4 linked regions of the Caenorhabditis elegans genome follow. The protein of the gene in region 3 purifies or fractionates together with the protein of the main gene of each other region. This does not show direct contact. Each region holds a gene or a part of one and is shown on either strand. Other genes may lie near its edges. The genes, in order: F47G3.3, rep-1, T05C1.2 and madf-3.

What was found.
Region 1: the proteins of T05C1.2 (region 3) and F47G3.3 fractionate together in Caenorhabditis elegans (co-fractionation; one large-scale study listed by BioGRID). This does not show direct contact.
Region 2: the proteins of T05C1.2 (region 3) and rep-1 fractionate together in Caenorhabditis elegans (co-fractionation; one large-scale study listed by BioGRID). This does not show direct contact.
Region 4: the proteins of T05C1.2 (region 3) and madf-3 fractionate together in Caenorhabditis elegans (co-fractionation; one large-scale study listed by BioGRID). This does not show direct contact.

The regions. Positions count from the first base shown.
Region 1 is NC_003284.9:2,373,985-2,379,614, forward strand, and holds F47G3.3 (KIF-binding protein), read left to right. Parts: upstream 1-2,000; 5' UTR 2,001-2,012; coding exon 2,013-2,057; intron 2,058-2,105; coding exon 2,106-2,336; intron 2,337-2,726; coding exon 2,727-2,832; intron 2,833-2,880; coding exon 2,881-3,050; intron 3,051-3,094; coding exon 3,095-3,457; intron 3,458-3,815; coding exon 3,816-3,978; intron 3,979-4,027; coding exon 4,028-4,194; intron 4,195-4,473; coding exon 4,474-4,668; 3' UTR 4,669-5,102; downstream 5,103-5,630.
Region 2 is NC_003281.10:1,568,522-1,576,312, reverse strand, and holds the start of rep-1 (Rab proteins geranylgeranyltransferase component A 1), read right to left. Parts: upstream 6,008-7,791; 5' UTR 5,990-6,007; coding exon 5,874-5,989; intron 4,890-5,873; coding exon 4,820-4,889; intron 4,770-4,819; coding exon 4,539-4,769; intron 3,761-4,538; coding exon 3,609-3,760; intron 3,514-3,608; coding exon 3,306-3,513; intron 2,567-3,305; coding exon 2,388-2,566; intron 2,087-2,387; coding exon 1,927-2,086; intron 1,366-1,926; coding exon 1,269-1,365; intron 1,220-1,268; coding exon 1,142-1,219; intron 981-1,141; exon of another isoform or gene 908-980; intron 884-907; exon of another isoform or gene 811-883; intron 539-810; exon of another isoform or gene 463-538; intron 442-462; exon of another isoform or gene 369-441; intron 233-368; coding exon 105-232; intron 1-104. Other genes in the region: Y67D2.2 (Ubiquitin carboxyl-terminal hydrolase), read right to left, coding at 6,462-6,557. UniProt on the Caenorhabditis elegans protein: Substrate-binding subunit of the Rab geranylgeranyltransferase (GGTase) complex. Binds unprenylated Rab proteins and presents the substrate peptide to the catalytic component B and remains bound to it after the geranylgeranyl transfer reaction.
Region 3 is NC_003280.10:4,480,403-4,483,746, forward strand, and holds T05C1.2 (Protease III), read right to left. Parts: upstream 1,720-3,344; 5' UTR 1,713-1,719; coding exon 1,666-1,712; intron 1,393-1,665; exon of another isoform or gene 1,392-1,392; coding exon 1,319-1,391; intron 737-1,318; coding exon 623-736; 3' UTR 541-622; downstream 1-540. Other genes in the region: T05C1.1 (Activin_recp domain-containing protein), read left to right, coding at 180-366.
Region 4 is NC_003280.10:4,332,917-4,339,585, reverse strand, and holds madf-3 (Alcohol dehydrogenase transcription factor myb/sant-like protein), read right to left. Parts: upstream 4,839-6,669; 5' UTR 4,775-4,838; intron 3,911-4,774; 5' UTR 3,880-3,910; coding exon 3,316-3,879; intron 2,514-3,315; coding exon 2,435-2,513; intron 1,873-2,434; coding exon 1,776-1,872; intron 1,361-1,775; coding exon 1,162-1,360; 3' UTR 548-1,161; downstream 1-547. Other genes in the region: H20J04.4 (RNA helicase), read right to left, coding at 5,851-6,144.

The sequences.
Region 1 (5,630 bases), on a different chromosome or scaffold from region 3:
CAAAATTAATATTGTTTTTTTTTTGTCGTCTATCAGTACTGTTAGAAATTATGGAAGTTTAAGTTATCAATTATTAATTTTCATCTGTCCGTAGTTTCAAAATTTTTTAAATAAAAGTTCAATAAAAAGTGCGTCAAAGAATCTTTTTTAAACATTTTGTCGAAAAACTTCGACTTCTAATACAAAACTGATGCCCTCGCGTTTAAGCAATTTTTAACATACAAACCACTCAGATTGAAAATTCCACTTTCGAGAAACCCTGAAAAACTAAAAAAAAAAACGTGGCCCACGATAATATTTGTTCAATTACAATTGAGTCTAACGTATTGAATTTGAATAGTTTATGTCTTTGAAAAATAAGTTTAGACAATGCCCTTATTGTATTCTAGTATTGTATTTTAGACTTGAAAAATCCGCAAGTAAACAGACCAAAGCTTAAAATAAGTGAGATTGGGCAGGCGCCACAAAAAAGTGGTTCCAAGTTAGGGCACAACGGGTGGTTAAAAAATTTGAATTTAACGTCTCTCAAAAAAATTATGGATTTTAGCCAATTACTTGTCGCCACCATTTTCTTGATATTTATGAAAAATGAAAATTTTGAACAAATACGAATAATTGTCCTTTACTGATCTCCAATACGTCGTTCAACAGGATAATCATCCGATTTCATATAAATAAATTAATTATTTTCTTCTTCCGTCTCCCGTTTTGACCTCAACAAAATCGCTTAGAATAGAGATGCACTATCCCAAAATCAATAATGATCTACCTGCTCTCTTCGATTGAATACCATGTAAATAGCAGACATACATTTTAAAAAGGATTAAAGGACGATCCGTTCTTCAAGTGCTATGCACTGCGGATCTGGGATTCAGGTACACTGCCTGGTGGTGATCCCTCTGGGCTGTAATTTAAGCCACGTCCTAGCCGGGGACTGTGGCCGATAATCCAGTCGTGGATTGCTCCACTTCCCAATAGAGGCTGGGTGAACCTAGGGGGTGAGGCCGGACTCGTGACCTCCAGACTGCTAGCGGCCACCACTACCGACTGAGCTATCTGCCCCCGAATAATTTTATTCTTTGAAAAAAAATAGCAGACATACATTTTCCCTAATTCAACCCCTTGCCCTCTTGCCATTCTCCAAACGTGACGAGACCATCTGCCGCGCTGAGACACCGCAGTGTTCCTCGTCGCACGTTTGTCTCGTTTCTTAGACTCTCCACTCTCTTGCGTGTACTCTCGCACATTGTCTCCTTATCCGGTCAGTTTTTTGAATGGTTCGAAGAGCCTCAAATCATTCCTTTATCTCACGTATTTACATGTAGATTTTCTTTATTTTCTCACCGCATTTATTCATAATTTTCAATACTTCTCAGAGCATTCTCGGCGCAACAAATCATTCTTTTTGCTCAGTCCCAAATACCTTTTCTTTTCTTTTTATCTCCTTGTTGCTGCGTCTCCGTATCTCTAACAACATTTTCGATTTCCCTAGCAATGTCGTTACTTTCTCGTAATTTCTCACTTTTCTCGTAATTTCTCACTTTCTTTCTCGCCGGACAAAAAATGTATACGAGTTCTCGCCCTTATTTTGAAAAACATCTAATAGAGACATACGAGAGTGATGAGTATCAGCGATATGTTAAATGGCATAGTCTGTCGCGGACCAGAACAAGCAGAAGTAATGAAAATATCATTTAAATTTAGAGGCATAAAATTCTGAATATTTTTTTAAACAGATAAAAAAATTCTCCAATTTTCAGAAAAATCTACATTTTGATGTTCTTATGAAAGACGATGCAAATTATTATTCAAGCTAATTCCTTCAAATCGTCCGTAAAAACTTACTGATTTTACCATTAGTTACCAAATGCACTGGTTTTTTTAACTCCTCAATTGAGTTGCCAAAATTATGAGCGATAGATGTTACTTTTTTTTTAGCTACTTGCTCCGATTGTTTTTCCTCTTTCTGTATCCTTAAATATACTTTGAAATACTTACCTGTTTCAGTTACAATGACGGATATGGAAAGTCAATTCGAAATTATCCGAACCGAAATCGTAAGTTCATTTTTTGCTTTTTTTCTACAATTACAATCCTATTTTCAGACTCTCGGAAATCTCACGGGATCCCTGCACACATTGCACCAAAACGTGAAGCTACAGATCTTCAGTGACGATCTCTGTCAGGCTTTTGACTCGTTCCTGATTTTCTTCCACAGAAGCGTATCGAGTTATATGGACAAATTAAAGTCACAAACTAACGACGATGACGACGACGTTGCTGATAGACTTTCGGCAGCGGAAGCTCACGTTTCGCTTCATTTGGGCAGATTTGTGGTAGGTCGTTTCACTTTTTAGTTTGTAGAAACTAAATATGGTTCTAAAACTAATTTAAAACGGAGTTAGTTTAGCCACTTTGTCGAGTCGAATGACCAAATATCATAATTTAACAAAACAATTCTGAAAGGCCCAGTTTTGCCACTGTTTTGGAATCGGACAAATTAATATATTTTTCGAATTAAGTTTCAAATATTAATATTTAAAAATGTAAAGATTCCAACATGACTTCTCTATAGTTTTCTCAACAAGTGGTAAAATCTCAGTTATTGCCAGTTTTTAAATCGAAACGCAAATTTTCAAACAATTTTCGGAAATTTTTACTATGATATTTGGCTTATGTTATCATAACTCCTCTGTTAAGAAGAACGAAAGAAATATATTTTGCAGGCCGAGATTCCAACATTCGCCGACGGATGCGATGTGTCTGGATTTTGGCACAGTCTACTGGTCAAATTGATTAATGAGATGTTTGGATTCTCTCACAAGACTTTTGGTATTTTAGAAAACCATTTTGCACAGCTATATCACAGTTTTTTTGCAGATCCAGCAGCAAAAGTCAAAAACAAGAATGCAATCAGTGCACTGTTTGAGGAATTTTTGGCAGCTGAAAAACCAGATAGATCCACTGCGTACGAATATATCTGCGTTATGTACATCAAATACCTTCAACAAATGAATCTGCATGCGGAGTTGGAGTTGTTCGCAGCAGAGGTTTGGAAGAGTTATATGGATGTACCAATATATAAAGTTTTCAGAAAATTGCTCACCCCCACGAGTACCAACAAGAAGGCAGTTCTTATTGGAAAGAAGAATGTCTTGCACTTCTGAAGGCTGCGGATAAGTGCACAAATAACCGTCTGAGAAACAACTTGCTCACAATCGGAAAACGTCTCTTCAACAACACTACTGCCAACATCTCCAAGCAAACTGAGGCGTTCTTTGCTATCCTCACTTACATCGATCTCTGTGACAATCCAGTCACCGCGGAAGTCTGGACCGGTTTGAGAAAAATTTGCAAAAGAGTCATTGAGCATGGAAATGAGGTGTTGTTCTTTGCAAACAACGAGAACTTTGACGAGAACTTGAAGAGTGCTCTGAAAGTTTTTGGTGAGGTTGAGGTAAGATTTTCATATTATGAAAGTTTTGTCTAAATACATTCATCATGATACAAAACGACCACAAAATTTTAGACTTTCTCAAATTTTCTATCAAAGCTTTTAAGGAAATCCAGAGCAAGGTCGCATTTTCCGACCTCTAGAATATTTTGACACTAAAGTGTGAAAATGGTAGAAAAACAGTTGTTTGGGTCGATAAATTTTCAAAATGTTTTACTATAATATCTGATCCTTTTGGCACCGTGGCACAGCTCAACCTTTGAATAAGTTTGGGGGCTCTGAAATATGTCAAAAAATGTACTGGAAAAATTCATATTGATTTTACAGAATCCTATTCGGCAAACAATTTCAATAATTTCAGTTGACACTCAATAGACGAATTGGAATGATCCAAAAATTGGAGAGAAGCGATCCACAAGATGGACATCAAATGGACTCTGCATTTTTCATTGATTATGGATATTATTATGTGATGAGAGCCTCCATTTTCCAGAGCGCTAAATTCATTGTTGGTGAGCAAGAAGGTAAGTCGAAATCAGGCGCTTGTGCACCGTACATCGTATTCAATTTCAGCCAAAGAGCAAACAGCGTTGGACATCAAGCAGGCGTCGGACTATTCTTATCACTATACAAATGTTCAAATCGCTATCAATGACGTTCTTGAATTGATTACTTCAAATTTTGAAAATTTGAGTGAAACAAGCTTGGTTGAAATGGGAATCTATCAGTATCTGGAGTCGGTAAGGAATACTTTAGGGCGGCGATAAGTCCTAAGCCAAAATTCATAAATTTTTCTTGTGTCGGTATTTTCTAAAAGTTTTGACCATCACTAGTATCCTAGCTCGCCATTTTTTGGAGGCTTCTATTTGATCTTGCTTGCTAACAAGTTTTTTCCTAAATTCTTTATTGACAGAAGCTTTTAATTCGGGGCGCTGAAAAGTTGTTAAAATTACCGTAAAATGGAATATGTACGAACTCAACTTTGTACTTAACTTTCAAAAAATTTATTCTATTTTCAGATTATTGACGCATGCTTTGACAATAGAAGAACAAAGGACCAGCAAACTATTTTCGACAAGGCTAACCAGCTTCTGAGCAAAACTAGTGAGATGTTGGGAAAGCACAGTAACTCATCCGAGCCTGTAACAAGTGCAATGGACGCTTCAGGACCCTCTCCTGACGAACATCTTGCAGACGATAACATGGATGACTAGTTGATAGAAAGCCAATGCATTCGTTCGACATCACCATTTGATTCACCAGTTTTCACATTTTTTTGTTATAGATTTCCAACTATGAGTCGTTTTGTTAAAAGGAGCATTTACAATAATGTTTCCTTTTCATGTTTTTGTGCATGCATTCCTGAATACTCTTTTTTATTGATTCCCTTGGTATTTCTGCATCTCATCCGTTACTTTTTGAAACAATACCTGTTTTCAAAGTTTTACCCTCCCTCAATCACACCTGTTTTGAAGTTCTTTCATAACTTTTGTGCGCCAACATTTCATGGATGTTTTTTTATGTTACTTTCATCTCGAGAATGTTTTTTCTCCATTTCAAGAATCTCGGTCTCACTTCTTCCCACCCGTTTTTCATTTAGAAATAAATTTTAAATTTCTCCAGTTTGCTTCTAAATATTTAATTGTTTTGATTTTTGGTTCTCTGAATGCACAAATTCATCAGGTTCTGTAGGTATAATTATGAAACCGCTTTGAGCAAGAAACCAACTTAAAAGGAAGTGTCGTTTGGAGCATCTCCAGGTCCTGGCTATGTCTCGGCTATGTCTCACTATCAGCTCAGACTGCCAGAGTCACTAATTTTAGTGAACTGCCAGAGTCACTAATTTTAGTGAACTGCCAGAGTCACTAATTTTAGTGAACTGCCAGAGTCACTAATTTTAGTGAACTACCAGAGTCACTATTTTTAGTGAACTGCCAGAGTCACTAATTTTAGTGAACTGCCAGAGTCACTAATTTTAGTGAACTGCCAGAGTCACTAATTTTAGTGAACTGCCAGAGTCACTAATTTTAGTGAACTGCCAGAGTCACTAATTTTAGTGAACTGCCAGAGTCACTATTTTTAGTGAACTGCCAGAGTCACTAATTTTAGTGAACTGCCAGAGTCACTAATTTTAGTGAACTACCAGAGTTACTAATTTTAGTGAACTGCCAGAGTC
Region 2 (7,791 bases), on a different chromosome or scaffold from region 3:
TTTTTTTTTAATTTTTATATTTTTTCGAAATTTTTTTTTCTAATTTGAATTTCTAATTCAATTTCAGCTCAAAAATCCAATTTTCATCGTTCTTTCGCCCTAACCTCCTCCACCACACTAGCATAGTGTAAATTCGCATCAACTGGCGGCGCGACGACGACATTTTCGGCTCCGGCGGTGTCGAATTTCATGGAATTCGCGGTGAAGCTCATCTTCCAGTAGGGTTCCACTTCTGAAATGCAGAAAAAATATCGATTTTTCTAGGAAAAATCGAAAAACTCAAAAATATTAAAGAAAAACCGGGTTCCAAGCCAATTTTCGCGAATTTTAAGTGAAAAATTCGAAATCTCCGCCCTGAAAAACCTAAATACTCCCACGGGGACTCGAACCCCGGACCTTTTGCTCCGAAGTCAAGCCTGTTAGCCACTGCGCCACCGGTGCGCCGAACCAGCGGCGCGTGATGCAACGCGTGGCGCAGTGGCTAAGCGGCTCGCCTTTGGAGCAAAAGGTCCGGGGTTCGATTCTCCGTGGGGGTGTATAGGTTTTTTATAGCGGAGAATTCGAATTTTTCACTTAAAATTGGGGAAAATTCACTTGGAAATAATTTTTCTCAAAATTTCACTGAATCCTTGCTGAGATTTCAACTCTTGGAGTCTCTATTTTAGAACTTTGAAGCTTAACATATATTAATAGTTCAAAAAAATGGATTTTGTATCATTTTCGAGCGAAAATTTCAGGAAACTAGGTTGTAACTCAATTTTTGCGAATTTTAAGTTAAAAATTCGAAATGTTCGCTATGAAAAACCTATACACCACTGCGGGGACTCGAACCCCGGGACCATTTGCTCCGAAGTCAAGCCTGTTAGCCACTGCGCCACGGGGTGCAACATGCATCACTGGTTAGCTGCAACGCGTGGCGCAGTGGCTAAGCGGCTCGCCTTTGGAGCAAAAGGTCCAGGGTTCGATTCCCCGTGGGGATATATAGGTTTTTTATAGCGGAGAATTCGAATTTTTCACCTAAAATTAGGGAAAATTCACTTGGAAATGACTTTTCCATGAAAGTTTCTCAAATTTTAAGCGAAAAATAGGTTTTCGGTAGTGGAAATTCAAAATTTCCCCCTAAAAATTCCGCGAAAATCACCATTTTTTTCAAAAATCTTCTCTGCAATAGTCTTGACACTTGTTTCTCCTTCTTGGGTACCCGTTGCATGCACCAGAACTGCAAAAAAAAAATCTTTATTTTTCTAGGAAAAAACGTGGGGGCTTACAGTGTCCTTTCGGAGCCGTACAGGCTTCAAAGCCCACTTCAACAAGCCGTGAGACTGCGGCGTCGGGCCGGAGAGATGCCAGATTGAGGAGGGTTAGCTGAAAATTTTTTCGGATTTTTAATACGAAATTCGAAATCCCCGCAAAATTTCACTCTAGAATTATTTTTTCCCAGGCTTCTAGCTCAATTTTGAAATTTTCGGGGTTACTGTAGCGCCAAAAGTACGCGATGCCCCCGTGGTGTTTGCGTACCTGACACCGAATTTTACGAAATTGAACCCAAATTGGCTTAAATTTCAGTTACGGGGTAAATTGGCAACGGGGAATTCGAATTTTGCATTGAAAATCAACTAGGAGCACTGGTTTCTCGAGTAAAATTAAATTTTTCTCGAAAACCAGTTGACCAAGGTGGTTTTCAATGCGAAATTCGAATTTCCCGTTGCCAATTCACCCCGGAACATGATTTTCAGCCAATTTAAGCTCAATTTCGTAAAATTCGGTCTCAGGTACGCAAGCACCGAGGTCAACGTACTTTTGGCGCTACAGTAACCCCAAAAATTGTAACATTGAGCTAGAAGCCCGGGGAAATTGAATTCTAGAGTGGAATTTTGCGGGAAAATCGAATTTCCTGGTGGAAAACTCCAAAAAATGCTCCGGAACCTGTTCTTTCTCGGCTTCTTTAATCGATTTATCCGTCGCATAGACGATTCTCTCGATTTTCAGCGTACTACTAGCTGGAACAGTTTCGGGGACAAATCTCGGGGACATCACGATGTAGCGACAATTTACACGATCTCCATTGGCAATTACAGCCGTAATTCTGGAAATTTTTGAGAAAATTGGTTTTCCGACAAATTGAAAATTTGGGCATAGCTTCCGCATCTCCGAGTGACAAATGTGCTCTATTGTCAAATTGTTGGCAGAAATACGGTATTTATTCACATTTTCAGCACAATTTAAGGCTGAAAATGTGAATAAAAACAGTTTTTATGCCATCAATCTGGGTAGAAACACATGAGTCACGGAATATTGTATAAAACTAGTTTTGCTGGGAATTTGACTTGAAAATTAGGTCAAATTTCGCAGAAACTATTGATTTTTCGCTTATTCTCTTCACTAACTTTCCATCTTTTTTCACGATAGCCTGTACAGGCCGTCCCAGACAATATAAGCTCCCAAAGACTGCTGCCAGCCGGCAAAAGCACTGTGAGAGCTCTCCACATCCGTAGAGTGGGAAGAGGAATGGCGATGGACCGAAATGGCCGACAGAATCCATGAACTGGCATGATGCCAACATTCCCTGGAATTTGGAAAAATTTTAAATTTTGAAAAAAATTTTTTTTTTTTTTTGAAAATTTGTTTTTCTCAAAATTTTTTTCAATTTCAAATTTGACATGAAAATCAACTCGAAATTCGAATTCTCCACATCACCAGCTTCCAAATGACACCCATCATGCCCATGATCCATCGATTTTGAAAATTTTGGGTCCCGCCACGAGGGGTACTGTAGCACCGGTTTCAGCTGTGTCGGAGCGCAAACTGCACGGAAAATGGGCATGATGGGGGTCATTGTAAAGCTGAAAGCGTTAGAGATTTGAATTTTTCAAAAATTTTTAGCAAAATAGACAAAATCAACATTTTTTCGAAAAAAAAAATAATTTTTTGCTCAAATTTTTTTCAATTATAAATTTCTTTTCAAATCGACTCAAAACTCGAATCCTCCACATCATCATCTTTCTAAAGACCCCCATACTGCCCGGGTTCCGATGATTTTGAAAATTCGGGTCTCGCCACGCGGGGTACTGTAGCACCGGTTTCAGCTGTGTCGAGACTGCCAAAACTCAAAATCAACGGACCCCGGGCATGTTGGGGGTCATTTTGAAGCTGAGAGTGGCGAGAATTCAAATTTTTCAATAATATTTTGAAAAAAATTGAAGTAAATTTCGTGCAAAAAAAAAAATTTTGGATTTTTTTTTCATTTTCAATTTTTTTAGAAATTCAGATTTTTTTCTAAAAAACAGTAATTTCCGCATATTCACCGTCATCGCAGTGGGTCTTTGCTGTAAAATGCCGATCGTATTAATAATAAAGCTCTGCAGGGTCTTTCCAACGCCCATTTGCTCCAAAAACTCTGAAAACGGGCGGTCGGCGTGCTCGGCGAGCAGTTTTCTGCCTTCTTCCGTGTCTTTTGTGCTCCATTGTGTGCAGAATGTGATGAATTTCATAAGAGCTCGCTTTTCCAGGATTCTGGAAGAATTTTTGGAGATTTATCATTGCGAATCGATTTTTTTGGCAAAGAAAATCGATATTTTATCGATTTTCAGCCTAAAAAAATCCCTTACGACAAAGCATTGCTCTGAAAAATCTCTCCTTTGCTACATGGCACCGGATTTAGGGTAATTCCGGCTTCTGGGGTCTCTGTTGGGCATAGCTGCCGGTTGACAAGCTTAAACTCGGCATAATGGGATACTTGGGAGTCACAGAGTGTTTGAACCTGAAAAAATTCAAAAAATTGGAAGAAAATCGTTTTTTTTTTCCAAATTTTTTTCAAGATTTTCAAAATTTTCCCATAAATTTTTGTCAAACTTTTCAATATCTGAAAATAATGCGGAAATTCGAATTTTTCGACGCTCTCAGCTTTCGAATGACCCCCAACATGCCCCGGCTCCGTTGATTTTGACTTTTGGAAGTTTTGACACAGCTGAAGCCGGTGCTACAGTAACCCGCGTGGCGAGACCCAAAAAAATCAAATTGCATGGAACCAGGGCATGATGGGGGTCATTTTGAAGCTGGTGATGTGAAGATCTCGGAAAAAATGTTAATTTTTGAATATTCTGAAAATTGACAATTTTTTGGAAAATATTTTTCAATTTTTTTAAATTTTCGATATTTCAGAAAACTAGCAAATAATTCGAATTCTCCACTTTATCAGCTTTCAAATGACCCCCAACATGTCCGTGGTCCGTTGATTTTGAATTTTGGCAGTCTCGACACAGCTGAAATCGATGCTACAGTAACCCGCGTGGCGAGACCCAAAATTTTCAAAGCGGTCGGAACCTGGGCATGTTGGGTGTCATTAGACAGCTGGTGGCGTAGAGAATTCGAATTTCAGAGTTTTAAATGAGGAAATTGAATTTTTAGAAAAATTTTTCTTTTTTTTCAGAAAAAAAGTTTCAAAAAAAATTTTTTTTTTGGCAAAAATTGATTTTTTGATGACTATTAGGGCAAAACATCAAGTTCTCCAATTTAGGTGTAATTTTGCAATTTTGTACCATTGCTCCCTTGGAAAGTAGAATTTTCGGCACTAAATCGATGGAAAATCGCCGCATTTGTGAAGCCTCTTCCAGTTGCGTTTTCATCGGCTTTTCCTCGTCTTTTCCACGTGGAATCCACGTCATTTCAATGTTTTCCACGATTTCTCGATTGCCGAGCTCAATGAGCTGCTCATTTTCAGTCAAAAGCTCTGATAACTTGGAAATCTCCGAGGAATCCAGCTTTTTTACCTGAAAATTCGGAAATTTTGGGGTTTTTCTGGCTGAAAATCAATAAAAACCTGATTTTCAGTCACTTCATGAACCATCGACATTGTGAATGATGACCAATCACCGCCGTAGTACTCATTTCTGCAAAAATATTTTTTATTTCGAATTTTTCAAGAAATCGAGTATGAAATTCGAATTCCAGACGTTATCAGCTTTCAAATGACCCCCAACACGCCTAGGTTCCGTGCATTTTGACAACCGACACAGCTGAAATCGGTGCTACAGTAACCCGCGTGGCGGGACCCAAAATTCTCAAAGTAGGCGGAATATGGGCATGATGGGGGTCATTTGAAAGCTGGTAACGTGAAGATTTCAGAAAGAATTCTGATTTTTTAAATTTCTGAAAATTGAAAAATGTTTTGGCAAATATATATTTTTTTTTCTTAAAATTTGTTTAATTTTCGATATTTCCGAAAACGAACAATTAATCTGATTTCTCAACGTTATTAGCTTTCAAATGAGCCCCAACACGCCTAGGTTCGGTGTATTTTGACAATCGACACAGCTGAAATCGGTGCTACAGTAACCCGTGACGGGACCCAAAAAAATCAAAATCAATGGAATATGGACATGGTGGGGGGTTATTTTAAAGCTAGTGACGTGGAGAACTCGAATATGATATCAGTTGGCTGACATTTTTCGAAAATTGGAAACTTTTGACGTTTTCCGAAAAATTTTCCACAAACTTGGTCAGAAAATTTTTACTTTCTGATTTTTCCCGAAAATTAATGTGATATTTGAATTCATCAGGTTCTCAGCTTCAAAATGACCCCCATCATGCCCAGAATCCGTTTATTTTGGGTCCCGCCGCGAAAAACTACAGTAACCCGAGGAGTTTTCGTGGCGGGACCCGAAAACTTCAAAACCAGCGGAATATAGGCAATTTGGGGATCAAATTGAAGCTGGCGACGTGGAGAATTCGAATTTTGCTGTATTTTTGAGGAAAAGTTATGATTAAAAAAAAAATTTAGCCGAAAATAATTTTTTTTTCGCAAAAATTTTTTTTTTTTCAATTTCATTCATTCATTTTTTTAAACTTTTTTTAAATGTTAGTTCGCCTATTACCTATCTAAATGAAGCACAGATAAGCCAGCTCGAGCACAAGCTGAAGCCAGAATGGCTTCAGGTAGTCCGGTGCCCAGCACCACTACGTCCACTGATTCTGGCAACTTTTCGTCCATTTTTTAGAGCTGGAAAAGCTGGAAATAGTTTGAATTTTTGGAAAATAAGAGATGTCATGCTTAAATTTGAAAAATTGAAAAAAACCAAAAAAAAAAAAAATTTTTTTGAAAATTTTCCAAAAAAAATTTTTTTTTCTATTAAAATATTTGATTTACGGCTGAAAACCTTTAAAAATTAACTAAAAAAAGTGGAAAAAACACGAAAAATCTTCATTTTCACACACACACACAAAACTTAACAAAAATGGCACGGGACGGGGGGAAGAGTTATAATATTTTTTTCAAATTTTCTGAATTTTTGCACAAAAAATAAACTTTAAAGGAAATGCTACACGTTGTGTCATTAAAATGTTAAAATTTACAACAAAAAATAAGGGGAATCTAGCAACAAAATAAATCAATTGTTTGGGAAAAAAATTGCGAAATTTCCAAAAAAAAAATTTTCTCAAAAAAATCAATAAAAATCCAGAAATTACATCCTTTCGTAGAGTCGATGAGGTTTGACACGTTCGTAGAATAGCATATAACTTTGACAGGCTGCCACGTGGGAGTACGGTACACGGGTTACCTGAAAAATTATACAAGTTTTCGGGGGAAAAATGAAAATTTGGGCATAGCTTCCGCATCTCCGAGTGACAAATGTGCTCTATTGTCAAATTGTTGGCAGAAATACGGTATTTATTCACATTTTCGGCCAATTTAAGACTGAAACTGTGAATAAATACAGTTTTTATGCCACCAATACGAGTAGAAGCACATGGGTCACGAGAAAATGTTTAGGAAGGGAATATTTAGGAAATTCTGTGAATTTTAATAATATGTCGTTTTTGTGACAAAGGCTCTTCGTTGACTGGAAATTCAAATTTTCTGAGAAAAATAAATTCGAGAAAATTCTGGAATGTTCCAAAACTTTCTAGAGAAATCGGGAAAATTCTGAAGTGTTCAATTTCGTGGAAAATTTCAGGAACCTGCAAATTTCTAGAACCTTTCGGAAAGTTCAAAAAAAAAAACTTCTTCAAGTTTTGATACTCCTAGAATATTCTGAAGTTTCAATAATTTGAAAAAAAAAGATCAAAATTGTTATAATTTCCAGAAACGCTCGCCAAAAACTCTCGGAAAGGACCGGAAAAAAGTTTTATATGATTTGAAAAACGTTTTTTTTTAGTTGTAAACACTCAGCTATATAATATTTATGTTGCTCGAAAACTTCCGGAAAACAGAAAAAAAACGTTCCATCTACAGAGAAAGGCTTAGAAATTTTAGAATTTGATTTCAATTTTGAGTACGCCAGTCGGAGCACGCGCTTCAGCGCGTTCGAACGGCTGGTATATATATATTAGGTCTCCAAATAAGTTCCGGGTCAAAAATCATAACTTTGTTCGCTGCGTATCGATTTTTATGAAACTTTGGGAATTTACGTTATCAACCATGATCTTTCACTTGACAATAGTCACGAAAGTTTTTGACCACCCCAAGTGTCCTAACGCGGAGCCAATTTTTTCAGGCATTTTTCTGATCTCGCTTCTTTTCAGTTTTCAATTGAGCTTTGTGTGCGGATTTTGCTTTGTTTAGATTATTAGAAAACAACAGAAGTTTGGAAAAAAATCCGCCCAAAAAAAAATTTTTTTGGTTGGTCGTCAAAAAATGTTCAAAATAATTTTTGTCGAAAATTCTAGATTTTTCCTACAAAAATGATGTAACCAAGTGTAAACTATTTTTCGACATACAAAACATATCAACTTAGTTCGATACACTAAAATGATAGTAGAAAATACAATTTTTTCGGATAATTTTTTAGTTTT
Region 3 (3,344 bases):
AACATAGACATTCCTGAAACTCAAACAAATATCTTATTTAAAAAAATGTTTTTATCCAAAATTGAAAATTATCTGCTCTCAAAACCTGTCCCTCAACTCGACTTTTACAGTTAGATTTATTATTTCCGCTTATTTCCGCCATAATTTAATTGACCGCATTAAACTAGTCCTATTTCCAGCTTCACACCCGGCCACGGAAGCGTCGAAGTTACCAAGGTCACCCAAGAAGCCTCACCACCAAAGTTGAACCCATCGAACAGAAATCTTACAACTGACGGAACCCAAAACCGGGACCCGAATTCAACAGGAAGCTGGAAGCTTTTCATTGTTGCACTAATTCCAATTCTTCTTAAAAATCTCTTGTGATTCTATTTCCCTTTTCCAAAAATCCCCTCCAAAAAACATTCCATGTACATATTTACTAGCCATCCGCTCCGCATTCTCCAAACTTCCCATGCATTCAATCCTTCCAATTCCGGTGTTTTTCGTCTTTTTTTTTGTTATTTTTTGTTTTGTTTTTTTTCTTTGAATAAATGAAACTATAAGAAAAGAAGATTAATTGAATATTTGGAGAATTGAAATTTAAATATACAATACACAATGTTCAGAGATCAGAAAAAAATCACTTGTTTTCTGGCTTCTCGTCGTCTTTTTTCTCGGCTACTGCTTCAGGGATTTGTTGTCTGGCGGCGAGTTTTGAGAGCAAAGGAGCTGCTGGATGACGGGCAGTGTCGGCCTGAAAACGGAAGATTTGTTGATAAAATATGATTTTCAATAGCTGGGCTATTGAAGTGCCGACCAGAAATTCTTCAAAATGTCATATTGCACCATGTTTTCCTAATTTTTGTCATAAAAATTATATTATAGTAAATAGAATAATTTTTTCTTTATTTTAAAATAGCTTTCATTTTAGTTTAAAAAATTAAAAACTATCAAACTTTTTCCCGACAAATTCCAACTTTCAGGCAGTTTTACAGTTTTTTTTTACATTTTTTAATTGCTCCAACTAAACTCAAAGCTATTTTCAAATAAAGCACATATTTTTCATTTTTTATTATCAAAATTGAATGTAAAATATTGACACATTTTGTCCAATTTTTAAGAATTGCTGGCCTGCATTTGCCGAACAAACTTATCTAACTCTCGTATTTTTTACTCTATAGAGTGAGTTTGCAGGATAATTTTCTTAACCGAAAAATCCAAAAAAATCTATTTGAGGCCCAAACCCCCTAAAAATTTCTCAGATGTCTGAATCATTTCGATAATATTTCAGTAATGTTTCCGAAACTAAAAATTAGACTTTGTTTCAAAAAATCACCTGGGAGAAACGTCGCATATTGGACGGCAACAAGTGCAGTGGATTGGTCTCAATGGTTAACGAGTGGCGATGTCTGGAAATATGATAATTATTTTTTATTATACTGAAGATTCTAAAGAAGAAGCTTCTCAGACAAACTTCTTAGAAAAAACAAAGTGTGAAAGATTCGAAGAATTATTAAGACGCGACGCCGCAATTGACTCGCACAATTTTAAAGAAAATTTGTTTTTTTTTTCACAATTTTCACTGCCTGCCTGCCTCATGCCTACTTGCAAAGTTTACGCCAGGTAGGCACGAGGTAGGCACGTAGGCTTGAACGCCAGCCTTTTCAATGTTCCAAAACCTACCCCATGTTGTAACCTGTTGGTGGAGAGGCGTCTTGTTGCGAGGCCATTTTTTTCTGAAAAAAGACACCATTTTTATGATTGAAATAGTTTAATTTTAAGGAGTAAAATAACATTCCGCAAGAAAGAAAATACAAAAATCAAATCCAAAAATACTTGTCTATATGAATACTAATCTCACCGAGACATGACGAACGCTATATGTAAATTAAAAACTCTAAAAGCTACTATTTTCTCTCAAAAGTTGCCAATTTTTTCGGTGTCTTACTTCTAAAAATGCACATCATGATGGGATTAATCGGAAGGCAAAAAGAAAGAAAATGAGGAAGTCTAGGAAATGGGAAAAAATTCGATCAATTATTTTTAATTACAAGTACTACTAGTTTGGTCCGTTTGGTTCCAGTGACCAAAACCGAAATTAACAATTTGAAAATATGAAGCTTTTGCTCTCTAACTTTGAAACAATCCTACCTATATAAACATCTTAAAAATTGGGCGGGAAGTAGATCAAAAAAGATTCGGAAAAAATGATGTGAGTTTGAGCTGGATTGCAGAGTTTATCTGTCAAGCCGTGAAACACGTTTTTTTGTAGTCACGAATTGATTTTCAAAAATGCAATGAACTTTGTTTAGTCTGAAAAGACGCATAACTTGCAAGCAGGCACGCTTGTACGTATAGGCATCTTGAAGGCATCAGGTCTGCCTAACGGGGTCCGATTAAATATATGCTAATTCTAAAATATCCAAATTCATACTTGCTCCCCGAGCAACCACTAAAAACACACCAAATACGGGCAAATCCAGCTCAAATCTACATCACTCTTAATCTGACCTAGTTCCCGCGCAAAAGATGATTTAAATCCTGAGTTGTCAGATCCGTCTTAGCATTTTATTATATGACATGTACCTGCACATATATATTTATTTTTGGAACAAAAACTAACAATTATCAGCTGGGTATTATTTGAGAATTGTGTAGATCTGCCTTATAGAGGATATTTGCGGTTTTTCTTTTGGGGATTTTAAACAATGATTCAAATCTCAACTGTCGAATAAAAATTTCTAGAATTTAGCTTCAGATTTTCTGAAAATTTTGGCAAGAACCACGGTGCATGTACTTCCAGAAAAACAAAACAAAAATATATATCCTAACCCGGAACCGACTGTCCTTCAAAAAAAGGAACATTTGAGAAGAATGATGGGGGAAAAATGAGTGATCGTAAAGCGATAAGTGCTCAAAAAAACATGAGAGAACGCACCCTCGTCTCGGTGCTGAAAAATAACCATTTTTGGTGTGTGTGGCAGCTCAAAATGTCAAGTGGGGTGGCTAATGAAAAATTCAGAGAAGCGAATTGGAATTGGTTGTACCTATAGGAAAACAACAAGCTGTTTTGCTAAAGATCTTCAAAAGAAAAAAAATCTACATATATATATATATCCCTGCTTACCTACCTGCCCGCCTACGAGCCCGCAAGCATGCCTACCTGCCTACATGGCTGATTACCTTCGCCGATGCTTGTTTTCGTACACTGAACTCCGTCATAAAAGCTTTTCAAGTTACCTCATTACAATTCGCCTACCTGCAGACCTACTTGTGTTTCTCATTCCTAACTGCTTTAGTGCCTGCCTAGCACCTGCCTGGTTACGTGTCTTTCTCATTCCTGAATTTGTCTGTATGTTCCT
Region 4 (6,669 bases), 150 kb from region 3:
TACCTGATTTTCATAACGAGACCGCTAAGAAAGTTTTGAGGTTTCCAAAATTCAACTTTTTTGGTGAAAAAGTCGAGATTTTCGCACAAAAAAATTGAATTTTGAAAACCTCAAAACTTTTTCAGCGGTCTCGTTATGAAAATCAGGTAATTTCAGCATCTAAGCATCATATGTATCATGTTTCAGAAAAAGTTTAGGTTTTGTATTCCCGTAATCCATCATATTACATTGACCACTTTCACCGCTGCTTGCCCACTGAATGCATGATTTTTTCACTTGGAAATTGGAAATTGTTTTAGCATCTGCAAAAAATATTTATTTATCAGTTTTATTAAGAAAAAACGAAAAAAATCGATGAAAAACGAAAGAAAACAGGCGGAAAACAAAGCAAGATAAATGGCCGCTGAAACTTGTCGGCCCCTCGGCCATGGCCTAGAAACCACTTTTCCTCGTCCCTCGCGAGGAAAAAGTTGCAGTGTAACTTTCAGACTTCGCGGTGAGACCCATCCGCAAAAAATTTTTCAAAATTTTTCAAAAAACACAGATAAAAAGTAGGTTTTGAACACCTTAAAAGAGGTAAATTTACAACAAAAAATCCAAATTTTCTAGGATAAAAATCAATTATTCATGAAATAAAAGGACCTGAGATAGGAAAGACGGCGATGGAAATTAAGAAACTGCCCACAAAAATTACAAAAAAAAATACAGATACAGAAATATTGTACAAATATGAAAATATGATGAGACCAGTTGATGGGATAAAGATCAAAAAAATTGGAAATAAATGCGCCAAGACTACAGTACCTGGGGTCTCGAAGCGACAATTTTTGTTAAGTGCGTGTGTAAAGGTGTGCGCCTTTAAAGAGTACTGTAACTTCAAAAATTCGTGAATTTTCATCAATTTTTCATAGTTTTTCGATAAAAAAGACAATAAATTTTCACAAATTGTGAGAAAAACTCGACAAAAATTCACAGTTAAACACAGTACTCTTTAAAGGCGCACACTTTTTTCAATTTTCAACTTATCAAAAAAAAAGTTTTCAACTTATCAATTTGGGTCGTGGCGAGACCCGGCTTGGGGTAAAATCGAAGAAATTTCGAGGTTGGGTAATAAAAAGTGGACAAAAAATTGAAAATTTCGGCTAGAAAATTCAATAAAAATCACAAATAATTAGGAGCAGGTGTAGACGGAGGTTTAGCGGATTCCAAAAGTATCATAATCTGCTGCTTTGCAATTATTCGTGCTTCTTCTCCAAGTGTCCTTAGATCCGATACAATTGATGCAGAGAATGCAGAATCTCCGTCGAGAAGTACATCACCGTTGTTTGGTCGCTTTTCAGCCATCATCACGTAGTTTATGCTGGAAATTTCAGGGGTTTATTGATTTTTTTTTTGGCAAAATAAAATTATTATTTTGGAATTATCTGTGATTACTTGTCGGAAAAAATTGCACCAAATCATCAAGTTTTCGCAAATTCCAAATTTTTAAAATTTCATTTTTCTAAATCTTTGAATTTTTTTTTTTGAAAATTTTTCAATTTTTCTAGAGAATCTAATAGAAATCACCGAAAATTGTCTTAAAACCGCCACTATTTGCTTCCGACCAATCAGCGCCCGACTCCGCGCAATTCCGAACCAATCAGCGGCACAGGTCGTCGCTGATTGGTTCAAAAAAGAGAAGGGGCCGAGCGCTGATTGGTTAGAAGTTGATCAATTTTAGAGTCAAATTTCCTCTTTTTTTTTCATCAACTTTTTGCTCATTTTAGCTCACTCACTCATCATCGTAATCTCCATAATCTGACATTTCATCCTGATTTCCTCCGTCATTGTTTCCCCCTCGTTTCAGACTTCGAGCACATCGAGATAGTTGCTCTGCAAAATTTTAGTTTTTTTTAAAGTATTTATTCCGGCGATTTTAGGAGCCACGTAAAATAATACATGGAACTGCGTAATTCGTAATTTCACATATGGCGGTGCGAAATTTTTTACATGTCAAAACAAGAGTTCTAAAACTAAACTCTTTTTTCGTATTTATATTGAGGAAAAAAAACGATTTTAAAGCTGGAGGAGTAGGAGTAAATGAGGGATTTTACTTCAAAATGCGCAAACTGATCCTGAATCTCTCTGCATCCACACTATTGTCCGTAGATCTGCATCCGCACTATTGTCTTCACTTGCGAGGAAAAAACGGGAAAAACTAGAATTAACGTCGCGCAGATACAGATCTACGGAGTGCGGCGCTGAAAAAGGCGCGGCAATTTAAATGATTAGGAGATTAGTCAGAATTGAAAATTAACCAAAATCAACCGATTTTTTTTCAAACTTAATGATTTTTGATTTTTTTTTTCGGGGGCCTTTTATGGTATTTCGGCATTCAGGATCAGTTTGATTTAAAGGTTTTTTGTTTTAATTTTCCAGGAAAAAAAGCTCGTACGTTCATCCAAATGCTGATCTATCCAAGCCATATCATCATACATCTCCCAAGTTGACACATCTTGAACATTCGGATCACCCTGAAGTTGCTAAGAAAAATTTGTAAAATTTCTGTTTAAAACAAAAATAGAGGCTCCACGAAAACGGGATACTGTTGAGAAAGGGGATTCTGGCACTGTGCCAATTTTTTCTCAAAGAAAAATTGAGTTTTGTGCGTTGGCAGTGCCAGGCAGGGAGGGGCAAACGATTTTTTCCGGCAATTCCGGCAAATTTCCAACTTGCCGAATTTGTCGAAAATCGAAATTTCCGGCAAACCGGCAAATCAGCAAATTGCCCGAAATTAAAACTTCCGGCAAATCGCCAAATAGGCAATATCCCGAAAATAAAAATATTCCGGCAAATCGCCAAATTGCCTAAAATTAGAATTTCCGGCAAATCGCCAAACCGGAAATTTGCCGAATATCAAAATTTCCGGCAAATCGCCAAATTTGCCGTTTATCAAAATTTCCGGCAAATCGCCAAATTTGCCGTTTATCAAAATTTCCGGCAAATCGCCAAATCGGCAACTTGCCAAAAATCAAAATTTCCGGCAAATAGGCAATTTTCCAAAAATCAAAATTTCGGGCAAATCGCCAAATTGCCTAAAATTAAAAATTCCGGCATATCGGCAAAATGCCCAAAATGAAAACTTCCGGCAAATAGGCAATTTGCCAAAAATCAAAATTTCCGGAAAACCGGCAAATTGCCTAAAATTAGAATTTCCGGCAAATCGTCACTTTGCCGGGAATCAAAATTTCCGGCAAATAGGTAAACCGGCAACTGCCGCCTGCCAGATCCCATTTTCCATAAGTTCTCCTTTTCATGAGGCCTCCAAATGCCTACCAAATTCCTCAGCCTCCTCTTCTCCCTAACATATCGATCTCGATGCTTCTTCCATTGTTTATAAATCGACGGAACTGTTCCAGGATATCGTAGTTTATCAATAATCATTCCCCATGCTTGAGTACGACAGTCTCCATGACGATATTTTGGATCACGAACATCATAAAGACACGGATGCCTTCTCACTTCAAGAATTAGATTTTTTCCAAAACATGGCTCAGCAATCTTTTCATGAACTCCAGTTGGCTCTTTTCGAGATGGTGATATTTCTGCTCGATCTGTCATATGTGGATCTAGAAAATGAAGATGTTTGAAATATTGCCATGATGATTTCTCATTTCCATATTTTTGTTTTCTCTTCTCTTTTCCATATTTATCTCTTAATTGCTTCCATCTCGCAGATAACATTCTCGGATCACCATCAAAACCGAGTACAGTAACCAGACGCTGCCAAACTCGATTTTTGTATTCTGTATTACGGTATTGTCGGTCTGTATTGTCGAAAAGGCATCGACTATGACGGACGGCTTCGATGAGACGTAGGTTGAATGTCGGTTCGATCATTTCCTCGCCGAAGCGGGTCGCTGTGTAGTTCCTGCAAAAAAAGGTTATTTATGATTTTTTTTAGAAAAATCAGATAATTTTCTGATTTTTTTAAGCGAACTTTTTTTTCGGAAAAATGCTTTTTGGGATTTTTTTGAGTGAATTTTTGATTTTTCTAATTTGAAAAAAAAAACTGATAACATCAAACTTTATCCAAAAATATGTTCTTAAAGGAAAACGCGATTTTTTGAATTTTTATCGAATATATAATTTTAAAAAATAGTTTTTCTGTCGGAAATTAATTTTTTTTTAAATTTTTTACAAAAAAAGCGCAGTTTTTTTTAAAAAGAAAATCGAGTATTTTTTCTCAAGAAAAAACACCTTAAGATTTTTAAAGATTTTTATCGAAAAAAAATGTGTTTTTAATGGAAGATCAAGTTTTTTTTTAATTCAATTTTTTTTGATAGAATATATAATTAAAAAATGGACTTGTTTCGAAAATTAACTTTTTTAAATTTTCGTATTAAAAAAATTGCAATTTTTTCGAAAAATCTGGTATTTTTCGAAGGTTTTTAGAAACATCTTTTTTTTAAAGTAAAAAACGTTTTTTTTTTTCGAAAAAAAGTGTTTGCAAAAACTGATTTTTTACCTTTTTAAAATAAAAAATTGTTTGTTGAAAAAAAAAAATTTTGACAACAAAAGTTTTTTTTTAATTTTTTTATTTAGTAGATTAAATTATTTTTAGCACTTCGTAAGTACTTACAATTAGAAAAATTTTCTTTTTTCATATATAAAAAATTGTTGATTTTTCGCCAATTTATCGGAAAATAAATTGGATCTTTTTTGAGAAAAATCTGATTTTTTTTTTCAAAAATTCGATTTTTCTAAATTTATCCAAATATCATTTTAAACTCACATATCGTATTGTTCTTCGTGATATAAATGCTGATAGTTGTGCTCACTGGAGATCATGATTAGCTGAAAGTGTTAGAGCAATCGCTTTTTGAGACGGCTTTTAGAGATATTATGAGGAAGGTTTTAAGGAAACCATTATGGGGAATAAAAAGAAAATAGATGTGATAGAAAATATTGATTTTTTTTCAAAAGAAATCAACAACAAAAAAACAAAACAAAACAAAAAAAGTAACAATTTAAATCTAAAACAACAGAAATCGCAAGCTCGTGTACTCCACGAGGAGAAGTAAAGTACTAGAATTTTGAATTTAACACTAAAAAAAAATGATTTTTTGCTTTAAATCCCAGAAAAAAAATGAGATTTTCAATTTTTGGTGATTTTTGGCAACTTAAAAATTTTAATTTTAAATTAAAAATTTGCATTTTGTTAACAGTTGCTGTTCGGCAAATTTCTTTGTCGACAAAATCGGCAAATCGGCGAATTGTCGACCTGCCGATTTACCGAACATAAATTTGCAGGAATTTTTTGGAAGAATTTTTACGAGACGGAAAAACTTGAAACTGTGCTTTTTTGAAATTTTTTTGTCGGTTTTCTAGATATTTTCATAGAATTTGCCAATTTTCAAATTAGATGTAGGAATAGTCATAGGATGCGTACAGTTTTGCCGATTAAAATTTAAATTCTGAAATATCAAAAAAAAAAAAGGTAAAAAATCGCAATTTGCCGAAAATCTATGGCAATTTCCGTTTTTTCGGCAAGTTGCAGGTTTGCCGATTTACCGCAAATTTTCAATTCCGGCAAATTTGCCGATTTGCCGGAAAAAAATCGTTTGCCGCAAACACAACTTTAAATGCCAAAAATATACCGTAATTTTAATTTGAAAAAGTGGAGATTTGCAATTTTTGGTAATTTTTGGCCACTTTTAATTGTTTTAATTGTTCAAAAATTTGCATTTTGTTAACAGTTTTCTGTAATTTTGAGCAAAAACTGTAAAAATTTTGCACTTCTCCACGAGGAGTACACGAGCCGCGTAAATCGACACAAGCTGAACAAAAATTACAATATTTAAAATGAATTCAATTTTCTTCCTTTTTCACTTTTTTCGCCGCCAATTTCTTCTGAAATCGATCTCTTTTATCCAATTGTCCACTAATTTTCTCCAGCTTTCTCTTGGAATTTGTCATTCTTCGAGTCCTCATTTCCTCCAAATGCCTATCAGCTTCATCTTCATCCATTCCACTCATCAGAAGCTCTTTTCTTCGATTAATCTCCTTTTTCTCTCCGAATTTCTGATTTTCCAGCTTCAACTCGGCTTCTTTCTTCGCCACAAGCACTTGGGTGACGTATTTGGTGACATGTTTTGGGCTGACCTGAAAAAAATGCGAAAATTAAGGGAATTTATTGATTAAAAAGTAGATTTTTTGTGTAGAGAAATGAAAAGAGACGGGGGAAAAAATGATGAAAAAAAAATTATTTGCGTCAATATAGAGAGAAACGCAGTCAACTAGAGAGTGAAAAATGAGAGGAAAATATTTTTTTTTGGCGTCATTGAAAGTGGAAGGAGTTTGGAAATTCAATATTTTGGCGGGAAATTCAAATTTTTTGAAAAAAAATGTTTCTTCCGCCTTTTTCGTGTTTTTAGCAGAAAAACTCGCTTTTTTCGAAAAAAAAATTAAAAATTTTCCTTTTTTATCCAAAATATGGCACTGGAAAATTACAAAAGAAGTGCAATTTTTGTTTTTTTTTCGCTTTTTTTCTAGATTTTCCGAAAAAAAAATATAGCTTCAAATTTAGGCAATTTTTCCCTATTTTTTGCCGAAAATTATATGTTTCTCATGTTTTTTGAAATCAAATTTTAGAAAAAAAATTCAATTTTTTAAAGATTTAAAGATTTT